Linked DNA regions of Drosophila melanogaster. The protein of the gene in region 2 purifies or fractionates together with the protein of the main gene of each other region. This does not show direct contact. Each region holds a gene or a part of one and is shown on either strand. Other genes may lie near its edges.

What was found.
Region 1: the proteins of Teh1 (region 2) and CG30344 purify together in Drosophila melanogaster (affinity purification with mass spectrometry, with the first as the bait; one large-scale study listed by BioGRID). This does not show direct contact.

What each region holds. Positions count from the first base shown.
Region 1 is NT_033778.4:9,143,260-9,149,834, reverse strand, and holds CG30344 (uncharacterized protein), read right to left. Parts: upstream 4,576-6,575; 5' UTR 4,249-4,575; coding exon 4,044-4,248; intron 3,976-4,043; coding exon 3,863-3,975; intron 3,190-3,862; coding exon 3,039-3,189; intron 2,973-3,038; coding exon 2,789-2,972; intron 2,721-2,788; coding exon 2,534-2,720; intron 2,473-2,533; coding exon 2,337-2,472; intron 2,286-2,336; coding exon 1,959-2,285; intron 1,897-1,958; coding exon 1,740-1,896; intron 1,683-1,739; coding exon 1,619-1,682; 3' UTR 1,323-1,618; downstream 1-1,322. Other genes in the region: CG30345 (uncharacterized protein), read right to left, coding at 1-148, 657-769, 837-1,008; Prp38 (pre-mRNA processing factor 38), read right to left, coding at 4,715-5,707; shrb (shrub), read left to right, coding at 6,038-6,215.
Region 2 is NT_033777.3:9,864,379-9,870,953, forward strand, and holds the start of Teh1 (tipE homolog 1), read right to left. Parts: upstream 3,743-6,575; 5' UTR 3,290-3,742; intron 1,962-3,289; 5' UTR 1,361-1,961; coding exon 591-1,360; intron 1-590.

The DNA.
Region 1 (6,575 bases), on a different chromosome or scaffold from region 2:
TAAACGTGGATAGCAGGATGGGCCTTCTGCCGAACTTATCTGACCAGGGTCCCAGGAAGAGGCTTACTATGGCGGGAACGGTGCTCTCGAGCATCGAGCTTATCATTGTGATGGTCGAGGCATACTCCTGAACTTGCCCCTCAATCTTCTGCAAAATGGGAACTCTGTTGATAGGGGATTCTCTAAAGGCCGGCTGATAAGCCCGTCAAGCGGTCGTCACGTTTCCATGACTCACTAGGTGTTTTGGCCGGGCTTAAATATCTGCACACATGCATGTCGAAATATTATTCCCGATTTGTGTACTGTGGTCGATAACTTTTTGTGATAAGACGAGTCATTAGTCATAAACAATTTGGGTTTACTTTTGTTGCGGTCAACTGATAAGCAAAAACAGGTGCGACAAAGGTTCTTCAGTATAAGTTAACTTAAGATACCAGCAATACATAGCTTTCAATCCGCATCTAATGTTAACAAGCATATGGAACGAATCACACTTGAACCCACAAAGGAAAAACAATAAGAATGTATATAAACCGAGAATGGTTTTTTCCCACAACAATGACTTCTAATTGAAATGCAATTATAGAATCACTGAAATCGCATTCATTAAAGTTTATGCATAAAAATACATATACGCCTATTGCTTTTCAACTTGCCTTAACCTCATCGGAGGCACGATCCGTACCGAGAAATGGCTCGCATTCGGTAGCATTGTATTTCATGACCGTGACACAGGTCTGGTAGAGTATCTGGTTCTGGTAAACGGCATCTGATGTAAACAATCTGATTTATAAACGCCCCCACAACACAGTAAACACATACATGTATGTACACACCTGTTAGGAATCTGCCAAAGAAAACCAGAAACACGGCGGGCTCTAAAATAAGCGAGCGGGGTCGTTTTAGCCAGCTAGAGAATGTCCTATTGCTGGGTGGCGGCGACCGCACTTCGATGTCCAGCGGTTCATCATCAGCGCCAATAATTGGCTCCTCATCATCTCTCGGCATTTTGTGGTTCAGTAAAGGTCGCGGTGATCGCAGCAATTATCGTGTAGACAAAGGAATTAACGATTCATTCAGCCAAGCAATATATCGTAGCGGGAACTGAGTTAAACATCTGTGCGCGCCGAACTCGAGTGATAGACTAACTGGAGGGAGCAGCTGAAATAGACGACGTAAACAAACAAAGCAAGCGATTGCCAATTTGAGCAAACCAAAGCGTTTGCTGCGCCCTATCTGCGCACGAACGCTCGAGCGGCTCCCTCTCGAGAAACCTCACATCGCGACACACAATTCCCATTCGATTTATGCTCAAAGATATTGAATGCTCGATGTATTCACACTTTATTGTCACACTGCAAACAGTTAAATCTTTTGTTCTTAACTTTACAATGCTTGCACATGCAAAACACAGTCCAAATAGCAGATATAGTATATATATACATATACACTGATCAAAATCATAATAATACTTGCAAAAATATACAAGGAGTACAAACACTAGATTAATTTACACAAATAGTTTCTAATCTTTTAAAACGAGAGCTCTTCGCAGCGCCTGCAGAAGGAATTTAACTTATGAGATACATTCAGCTAAATCGGTGCTCTGGAGAGTTTGTTAGCTGCCAATGGCCTGGTAGACACTGCTACTACCCATCGACTTCTGGATGCCGAAGATCACGCTGTATTGAAAAGTATTCGCTTTAAACTGGACTTGAACTGTGCTTGGTAGGACTTACGCTATCAGAATGTAACACACAAAGTAGAGAGCGGCGCTAATAAAGTTGAAAGCTCCGGGATAATTTTCCAAAGTTGCCTTGTAGACGGTTGTGTACAGAGGTGCAGCGCCCAGTGGCGAAACCGATTCCATGGAGGTGGTCAGAGCAAAGATCTTGCCTAAATTATTTCATATGGTTTTAGTTAATGGTATTTGCAGGCTAAACACTTTGGGTACGTACCAACTTCAGTCGCGGGTGCAACGTGCGAGAGAATCGCGCGGCACATAGGTCCCATGACGCCACGCATCATACCCAGCGTCATGCCCAGATACAGCTCTTGCCAGTAGACTGCTGTGGCTCGAACCGTGCTCTCCAGAACACAGCAAGCCAGGGAGAGCATTGCCATGGTTACGATAGACATCTTTAGAACGCGGCGCAATACCAACATGCCAACGATGCTGCCCACAATCTGGATCACGATGCGGGATGCGTTGAATAGACTGAAGTCCTTAATGGTCCAGTTGAATTTATCCTGCACGAACATGTAATTTACAGTGCTCTCTCCCTCTGAAATCATTATAAATTAACTCATATAATCTTAAGTTTGAATTATGTTACCCATGTCGAAAATGGCTATCGTAAGGGCAATCATTGTAAGCCAGATGATTGTGCGATCAAAGTTGGGGCGCCTCTTAAAGCAGGTGCGAATCAGGTCCGTGACCAAATCGAAACGGAAGAACTCACGGACTCGCGACTAAAAATGAGGGAAGGAGTGTTGAGATATTCGTTTCTTCTTAGCTATAGAAATTACTTACTCCGGTGTGAATGTCACCTGGATTTAGGCTTTCAGGTACAAACAGAAGCACGTACATCAAGGCAAACATCATCAGGCTACCAGCAATGGAAAACAACACCAGAGCATTTGTGGCAGCATAGATATAACCGCTGGCCACATTGCCCACCATTATGCCAGCACAGAGGGAGGCTTCATTGAGGACCATTCTTTCAAATAATATATCAAAATGAAATGGCATTCTTTGGATTAATAAATCAAGACTACCCATACTCACCTCAGAGCCTTCTTTCGCTCCTTGGCCACATCGGATATGTAGCAATAGATTCCAGTAATCAAGGCGCAAGTTCCGCCGCTTACGACGGAAGGAACCGAGGAAAGGAGGAACCACCATGGACTTATATTCGTGGACCTCGTTATGTAAGTGATTACTATCAGTATGAGTGCGCCAGTGAGGTAGCCTTTAAATACAATAAGAGTCATTTGTACAAGATGCAATTAAGATGTCCTGACTGATGATTATATACCCGTAAAAGTTGTCAGCAGGATTGGCCGCCTTCCGAACTTGTCGGACCAGGGACCCAGGAACAGACTCGCGAAGGCAGGAATAATGCTCTCTAGCAGAGAGGTTGTCATCATAATATTTGCAGAATACGTCTGTACTATCACCTCGACTTCCTGAAAAAACAGAAGTTCACTTTAGTAAACTGCACAACTGTACAACTGTGGATGAGTCAATGTGCCATATCTCGTACGTATAATTATAATTTTAACGCTTTCCTAGTAAATACTTCGATACTGCTTCGAAATGCAGTAACAAAGGATTTTGCTTACTTCTATTCCGGCCGTTGATAAGCCTCGACTGGCGTTCTAATTACCTTATCTCTAGCCTCCAAACAATGGCAGTTTTGCATTAGGTTGAGACGATTTGCTAATTTGATTTTACTTTGTCACGTCGGATGCTGATATAGTAAGATATACTAAGTAGGTCACGTCTTGGAAGAATATCGGCGAGCCAAATGCGAAATACATTGTTCTATACAGCAAAGGTCATAATAGTAGCAATTACTCGTAAAACAAGTTAATATTGTGATACATTAATTGTGGTTTTAAAATTGTTCAGCAGTTTTTGTAACTTAAACTTCAGTTTTTGTTTACAGTTACTGGATAAATTTGTTTAAAATTGCCATTTTCCTCATCGCCATAAAATCACAACACGAAACGCCCAGCAAAGCAGCAAAAATAATTTGCACAGAGATAAAAACCAGGCAACGAGAACAGAAACTACACAAAGTACAGATATCAAATTGTACATGATGTGTATACTATAAGGGTCAAATTAAATACTTACTTTATCCGCGTCCGATCCGCGATCAATGCCCAGCAGCGGTTCACATTGCGTGGCATTGAATTTCTCGATGGTGATGCAGGTTTGGTAGAGAATTTGGTTCTGATAAACCGCCCCTAAAACGCACACAAAGTTAATTCAATGATGCAATCCAATCGGTTTTACTGCCCTATAGCCATTATACCAATTAAATTTCTGGCGAAGAAGATTAAAAAAACTGCGGGCTCCAGGATGAACCAGCGATAGCTGCTGTAGTCATGAGGCGGCGGTACCGGAGGCGGGTCCACCTGCTCACTGCTGGCCGCAGATGATGCGTCCAGTATGCGTGGTGCCGAATCTTCGCCAGTCTCCACATCGGCCACCAAAGCCTCCGTATCAGAGCGAGGCATACTGCCGTTCCGTTCCGTTCCTACTTGCTCGCTATCGAGAACGGAACTCGTGGATGCGTCTGGCTTACACCAGTCTACCGGAGATAATGGAATTTACAATTCATTCACCAGAACGCTGCGCAGTTCCCTGAAAGTCTTCCAAACGCGACGGAGAGTTTTCAGATACTAAAGCTTCAGCTGCTTTACTGCTGATTAACGTGGATTTATTGTTGCTTAAATCCCTGGTACGTGTATTATTTTCACAAGTACAGCTGGCTGGATTCTCCCGCAGTTAACGTTACTCTATTCGAAACTTTCTAAATGCAAGCAGCAACAGCTGATTGACTTCTTCTTCTTCTGTGTTATTGTTTTGATTTCGATTTTCGATTCTTAGTGCTAGGGATGCCAACTTGCGGCGAATTGAGAGTTTGTGGTTTAAATTTTCTGACACTTTTTACTGGTTAATTAATTCAATTTATTTATAATTTTAGTAGCGTCGTCGGTCACGCTCTCCTCGCGAGTCCCGTTCCCGCTGGTCGTGACGGCCACGGTCACGTTCTCGCTCTCGTTCCCTATCCCGGCGATCTCTGTCGCCGTCCCTCTCGCGCTCCCTGATACTGTCGCGATCTTGGCGCTCTCGTTCGCGATCGTGGCGTCCATTGTTTTGCCGACGGTCATAGTCCTCGTTGTGGGTGTCCCGATTGCGCACCCTATTTCGCTGGCGGTCGTAGTCTTCCAGTTCGTCGTAGTAATCCCGGGAACGGGCGCTGTTGCCCTGCCCAGATCTTCGCTCGCGCTCCCGACTGCGGGACCTTGACTTGGAGCGAACTCTCCGTGGTCGTCTCACTGCTGTCGAATTCTCCTTAGGCCGGTTGGTCTCGTCTGCCTTCTCCTCGTCGCTGGGCAGTTCGTCGTCCAAGTCCTCATCCAGCACTGACACCTTGGGCTCGATTTCGTTGTTTTCCTCGAGAATGGAGCGCTTCTGGATGCGGGGCAGTATAATGTCGCAGACACGGTCGTTGCGCAGCAGTTCGTCAATGTACTCATCCATGTAGACAATCTCGAACTGGCCGGCGCGATTCTGGCGGCGCAGCTTTCGATTGTCTATGTACAACGGCTCCAGGTACTTGTAGCAGTCCAGGGCAGCTCCTGTGAGCCGTAGATAGAAGGCTCCCAATGCTCGAACGTACTTGAACTCCTCGTTCTTGATAAACTCCACTACGATGTCCTTTTCCGGCTGAATCTGCAGCATCTTGAGTGTGAGGCAGAGGAACTGGGTGGGCTTGATGTTGCCGCCGTAGACGCCTCCGACGAATCGCAGCTCCATTGCCTTGTCCACCAGAAGCTCCGCAGTGAGAGCAAAGCATTGCTCCTTCCAGTACTTAGAGTCGTATATCCTCGAACGGATGATCTTCTCGATGAGGTACTGCGGATTGGTGCCGTGCACGTTTTTGGCCTCCTTCACCGTGCGGTTGGCCATTTTCAGTTGAACCCTTGTTCCTTGTCAATCGTAACTCAAATAGGACTTTTCAATCCAGAAATTCGGGTATCTATTGGCAGCAGTGCAAAATGTGAAAATGCACCGAATATATTTATTTATTTTTCGGCGTTTGCTAACCAGAGTGGCCAGCTGCGTAAGGGAGAAATATGCCACTCCGCCAAGCGCATACACAAAGGCGATAACGATAGGGGACGGCAATCGGTATCGGGTGACGCATACGAACAACAGCTCCCAGACAACCAAGAAACGCAATAGCAGAAAAAAACTCACTTGTTCGCTAAATTCGGGTGAAAAAACAGATCAGCCAGGATGAGTTTCTTCGGGAAGATGTTCGGCGGCAAGAAGGAAGTGGCCCCCACCACCGGCGAGGCGATACAGAAGCTGCGCGAGACGGAGAACATGCTTATCAAAAAGCAGGAGTTCCTGGAGGCCAAGATCGAGGACGAACTGAATATAGCCCGCAAGAATGCGTCTAAAAACAAAAGAGGTATGAGAGGAGTGCGCCGAGGTCCTTGGCTTCCTAGTTGGTCACTCAAATGGGCCAAGGGGAAATGACTCATTGCTTTGTTTTTGTTGCGGCCGCGAGGCCTGCTCCCAGTTAATCAGTATCCCATACTGCCAGCAAATAGAAAACTCAATAAACAATATGTATCTCTTTGCCTTTTCACCCGCATACCATTCGATGCCTGGACGTGTCCGCAAATCGCTCAGAACGTAATATAAACATTACTTTTAATACCCAAAACAAACTCAAGCCATGCAGTAGAGTAATTTCAAAGCACGCATTGCGAATTGGCCAAATCATATTTCGGATATATACATAAGCCAGTCCTCGAAACCTTCTAAT
Region 2 (6,575 bases):
TCTGTCAACAGCTCAACATATCAATCATACGCAGTGTGGTGCGTGTTTGTTGCGTGCTCTAATGCTTTGACTGCGCTGTGCTGGGTGGCAAATACATGCGACGCCTGGTCTTATAAATAATTTAGACCGCATATTACTCCAAAATAACAACACCCCCCCTCCGTTGACACGTTCACTTTGCCTCCAAAAAACCCCACCACTCGCACACACACACACACACACACAAACGGAAGAACTGTCATTAGTGAATTATTTAAATTACGCCGACGCCAGGAAAGCAAATATTGCAGACAGGAAGGAATTTCCCGCTGAGAGAGTTTTGTTAAATTAACTTACTGGCCAAAGAAGACAACGTACATGCGATAAAAAGCGTTTTAAATTCATGTGTATTTGAATAATACAATTGGGAGAATGGGTGGCAAGTTTAGTTTTATTAAAAATTTAAAAATACGAAAATATACATTCATGAAAATGCAAGAAACTGATAGACAAGGCGAGTAATTCATTCCTTCATATTGATATCCTTATATCTTATTGAAAGAACTCCTTGGGATTGTTAGATATAGCGAGGAGAATTCGTCACCACTCACCTGAGATTCTCGATGCGCGGCCTTCGGCACTGCGGCCGATTGCGTCGGTGGCTGCGATCCTTCTTGCAGCGGCAGTCGCAGTGCATGATGCACAGGGCAATGGACGAGATGACCGTTATCACAAAGGGCACCGCGAAGAAGTGAATGATCATGGCCACCTGGTCGTCGTGGTTGTACGATGTCAGCACCACCGTCTTGTTCTTTCGCGAATAGAAGCACGGAAAGATGGCACCCTCGATGCCGTAGTAACCGTTAAAGTTCTTACACGTCACCGATGGCGGATAGCCGCATCCCTTGATATTGACAAGCAGTGTCGCCTCGCCGGACTGCTCCATATCGGACGTAAAGTTGCTATAATCGGTCATATTCTCCGGTATCGTAATGTTCTGCTCAATGAACGTCACATAGATATGCACGCAGCGGTACAAATCGGAGGTGCAGCCCTCGCGACACGAACTCCACGAACAGTTGAATATACCCACTAGATCCTCGCGACGCGTCGTCGTGCACAGCGTTGGCTTCTCGATAAAATCGTGGCTAAGCGTCGATATCGCCGGATCCACATAGAGCGGTACGAGGAAGAGCAGCGATGCCCCGGCGGTCACCGAGAAGAAGGCCAGTGTCGAGGTTCCATAGAAACGCGCACGTTCCCGCCACGAACGAAAGCGCCGATTGCCATTTTTCTTTTTCGGAGCCAGTTCTCGGATTTTACGTAACCGTAGCTCTTGTTGTTGCTGCTCGAGTAGTAATTCCGAACTGCCACTCCTCATATTATTGTCGGTGCACACAGGGCGCTGATGTTGCTGATTGTTGCTGCTGCTGCTGCTGCTGGCGTTGCTGCGGCTGCTGCTGCTGCTGCTGCCGCTGCTCCTTGTATCACTGATGTTGCTGCTGTCGTCGCTGGCTGCGCAGCAGCAGCTGCAACGGCATCAACGCTGCTCCTGCTCCGTCGCCGCTCCGTCGCTCTGCTGCGCCCCGCTCTGTTGCCGTTGTTGCACTTGTGTGTGCAACTGCGACGCCTCCGTCCGCCTACCGCAACATGCAGAGCGCGGTTTTGTTTTTAGGTTATGTACACACGCTTCGGCGCAGGAGAAAAGCTAGAGAAGCTTACACCACAGCGAGAGAGGGAGAGCGCGAGAGTGCGAGAGCGAGTGAATAGAGATAGAGATGGAGAACAGCTGTTCCGGCGAAAGTCCGCGAAGGGGAGCGACAGAGACAGCGACAGGGAGAGAGAGAGAGAGAGGGAGACAGAGAAGGGAAGAGACAGCGAGTGACAGTCAGAGAAAAGCGCGCTTTGGCGTTTTCATTTATCCTGGCTTATTGTTTACTCCTTTTCGCTGGTTTATGCACTTTTCAATCGCAGCTAAAACACTGAAAAATAATATTACTTAGTTGGCTTTTAACTACAAAACGATATGCGGCTTTTATGGCATTTCTTTACACATTTTGCGGTTTGCGTGGGTGGCACTTTTTTCACAACTCACAGCTGTTGATGTAGGTTAGTTAGAGAGGTACATCTTGCAGAGCGATTGCAAATGAGAGAATGAATGGGAGAGTGTGTACCGAAGTCGACGTCGGCGCCAGCTGCGACGCCATCGTCGGCGTTCGAAAGTCTACTGGTTTCGCCCTAGTGACTGTGTAACCTTTTTTGCCTCTGTGTGTTGTGGGTGGAATTATTTATGCTACACATTTTTGTGCGGCGGCTTTTCGCTTTTCGCTTTCTGGTTGCCAGTTGCCAGTTGCCAGTGCCTTGGCATTTTGCTTATTATTCTTCAATTTATTTGCATTTGTCTGCCCGGCCAGGGCACAAAGTATTCTTGATTTATTTGGGATCTGTGGGAAGAAGTCTGATCTAACTAGTTTCTGCACCCAACCCCTCGCTATCCAAGCCTAAACATCCTTGCTTCACCTTGGCGGTCTTTAAAAAAAAAAATATATATATATATATCGCTACTGTTGTTGTTGCAACTTCGCGTGACTCTGGACTTTGGTCAGCAGGCTCGTCCTTTGTTCTTGCCCCGTTTTATTGCTGCTCTGTTTCATTTCATTTCATTTATTTAGCTGTCTTTTGTTTTTGCCACGGCACGCATTTCACAATTTTCATCACACACACACACACACAGGTGAGCTTAACTGTTATTGCCACAGTTTGTGTGTGGTTGGTATGATTTCATTTCCATGCTTTGTTCAGCGGTCAACGCGGCGTATGAGTAATGCACTTGGCAGGCACATGGGCTTCTTTCTAAATTATCCTAGATGGCATGGAATATGTTGAGATTTGTTTGCTTGGGGCTAGCAATGCATTTAGCACGGAAATTCTGGAAACGCGAACTTTTTCCAGCAAGGCTGTAGGAGAAGCGACAAGAACAAGAACCAGAACAAGAGCAGCAGAAAAGCTCCTTGAGCTCCTGTCATTGCCATAAGAATTAAGTCTCAAGTACACCGAAAAAATCTTTCAGTTACTTCAATGAGAAACTTACTAAATTATCTAAGAGTGCAGCAGGTCAACATTAAAATTCTTTGTGCAATATGGGTAAGATGGGCAATGTGAGGACCCACAATTTTGGGCAGTGCAACGCCCACGCCTTTGCTTGTGTGGAAAGGAAGGTGAGGTTTGGAATGAGTATGATGGCTAAAAACTAAAATAGAAATAAAAATCGAAATGGAAATAAAACATTAAGCTTTCGAGTCGAACTAACTTTTGACAGCTGAACTGGCAGCTGAAGAGCCTGCAGCCCACAACCCGCACAACCCGGTCGCGATTTCCCGATCCGCTGGCGCACTTTGTTGATTTTGTTGCTAGCACAACGTTGCTTATGGGTTTTTTCTTCGGACTTTTCGCTGCTCGTGTTTATTTACAGGACGCTTTCTTCTTTATTTTGAATATTTCTTTGTTATTCGCACTTTCACTTGATTTCGTTTGCGTTTGCTCTTGAATTTGATTTTGGGGGCCAAACTTTTGCACGTTTTTTTGCACGATTACGGAACGGTATTTTTTGCCACAGCACTGGAATTGGCTAACACCGACGCTGCCATTGGCTCACGCACACACATGCACCCACACGCTCACGCACACGCTGGCGGACAGACAGGACAGACAGACAGAATTCTCGACACGAGAAGCGCGCGCGCTTGGCCCTGACGTGCCTCTCGGAGTGTTTGTCCAAAACTGCGGACTCGGGAGCCTCAGGACTCGAGTAAGGACTCCGATGGCAGGACATGCTGCCCCAAGCCCGCCCCTCCTATTCGCATTTCGGGGGCGGCGCCGCGACGGTGCGTCGACGTCGGCAGCGCTGCCAACGGGGACGCAACTTCGCTAAAGTAACCATACAAGGATTCGCGTGTGCGCGCTCCAGAGAGAGAGAGTCAAATGAGAGAGAGAAAGAGAGTGAGTGGGAGAAAAACAGGACAACAAATTTAAGTTTGCACTGCTTGCAAACACAGAGCCGCTCCCATCAAGTATTCTCACTGTCCGCCGGCACAAAAATGCACGAGCTCCTTTAAATTATTTAAAATAAATAAATTGTTACATTTTATTTATATAAGCTATCAGTCCTGCTACAACATTTTTAAGAATAATAAAGTAAATCGTTACTTCAAGTGGAATAAAAAGCTTTAAGCTTGTACAAGAACCAAACGATAGAATTTTAGCAAGCTTCTCAGGAAAAAACGATATAGCCGGTGTGCCTCGACTATGAACCACAGAGAATGTTTTAGTCGAGTTCCATAAAAAAATCCCAAGGAATTCCCAAGGAAATCCCGAATAATTCCCTAGGATCCCGAGGAATTCCAGAGTAATTCCCAAGGAGATCCCAAAGAATTCCCGAGAAATTCCCAAGGAAATTTGATAAGATTCCAGACGAATATGCGCGAACCAAAGTCCATTGATTGCATTTCTAATGAATCCGATCTACCGAAACCAGTTTCGACGAAGGGCCAAAAGAAAATATACCAAAATCACGGATCATCCAATCTCTTGATCGCTTTTTCTATACGTTCTGCTTTAGCATTCGTTGTTGGCATCATTTTGTTCAATAGTAATAAATAATAGTTACGACTGTCACAAATAAAAAAAAAGCTGTGTTAATTTTTTTTCTTTTATTGCGATTCACTTCATTTTATTTGTATTATTCAACAAAAGTACTCGCTTACAATGTTTCTTCAATACTCTAATTGTTACAAATTAATGTATTTCCAAACAATACGAATTTTACATGTGTAAAAACATTATGTAGAAGACAAAGTAGTTGCGATAAGCAAAGACACAAACCAATGTAATAAATGTACACACAATAATTGAAGAATACTCGTTGTCTTTTTGCTGCGTTTATTTTTTCATAATAACGATTAGTGTATTCATGATCAGGATCACAAGCCGATCTGGCCACGTCCTCTCCGGCCACCAGTCCATCCGCTCAATACTGTCACGTTAACACTTTTGGAAAATATTTAGAATTTCTTCGTTTTTTTTTGCTTGTTTTGGAAATTTGCAATACCGAATCGATGTGCCAGAAAAATAATAAAATTTTATTTTTGAACTAATGCTATATGATATGCATTATGATATAGAGTTTCAAGCCGGCCCGTTTCGACCTATCGTCTGCAAATGTAAACTATTATATCATTATTATATTATATTATAATTATTATTATTACTTATTTTTGGAAGGTTTTCTTAATATATGAATTTGCCAACGAATTCTATATGTTGCAAAAGCTAAATTCACAGCTGTTCATATCCCTGACACAGATTCCGCCAGCAAAAAAAAAAAAAAAACTCGAAAGTAGGTCAGTAAGTGACGTGGCTGGTTGACCCATTTGCGACCTGAAGTTTGCCTAGTTGCAAAGTTGCCAAGGTTGGTTGGTGGCGTCTTTGGCCTGAATATTGGGTCTGGGATTTTGCAGCCGGGGGGTAGTTCCCTTTGATTGCCTCTTGTTTATGGAACTCGATGGAACTCTGCCTGCAAACGGCAAAATCAACACTTTGGCACTGACAGCTGGTTGCAGCCTCCCCCCTTCTCCTTTTCCCCTTCCCCCATCACGCCCAAAAATCAAACTAAACCCAATCGAAGTATTCGCCGTGTGGCCCGCAACCACCAAGTCAAATCCAATTTCATGCGAGGCATTTATTTGTCTATTGCTGCGTATCGGTGTTTGTCTAGTGCCCATATTTGTGTATTGTCCAAACAAAAGTCTTGCATCTCCGAGCAGCCAAACAATGAAAACTGTTGTCTGTTTTTCACCAGAATTTATGACCCAATGTCAACAGCACGCACAGTTTTCATGTTGGAGGCGCAGCTCCTCCTTTCCACCATTCCTTCGCTACTGCGATCTGCGATCTCGGATTCTCCATTTCAGGCTTTTCGATTGAATCGTTCATCGGTGAAATCGGAACGACCAAGGAAAGTTGCTGTCAGGTGGCCGCTTGACCCCAGCCATCGAGTTGGGTTGGCCGCCAACTCCAGACGAGGCTCCCAGCTCCAAAACCCCAAATGCACGCGGACAAATTTCAGCTAATAGCTTCATTTTTATGTTACGATAATTATTTAATTATTTATCGAATCAAACAAATTGGAAAGAAGCTTGATCTTGAAGAATGTTTTGCATTGCATTCTGTGATAAGTTTTAAAAACTTTGGTGCCTCTGCGAAATGTTTACAAATTCATTGCAGTGTCATTAAAGATATTATAAGAAGTAATACAGAATTGAGTGATTTTTTCTCGCCGTGTGGAACCGGTTGTCAAAAGTCTATCAGTCCGTGGCGATGCTTTTTTGTCATTCACATGTCCAGACTGCTGCACATGACATAAATTTGTATCTGCAGCTGATTGTGAGTCGTGTAATAGCAGCATGTATCTTGTATCTGCGCTCATCTTGTCTACAATTTATGCTTCCTGCCAGCCCAATACCAATCCGCATCCCAATCCAAAAACCCCATCGCCGTCCACTTTCATGTCCGTGCTGACATGTTCACATCAATCACAC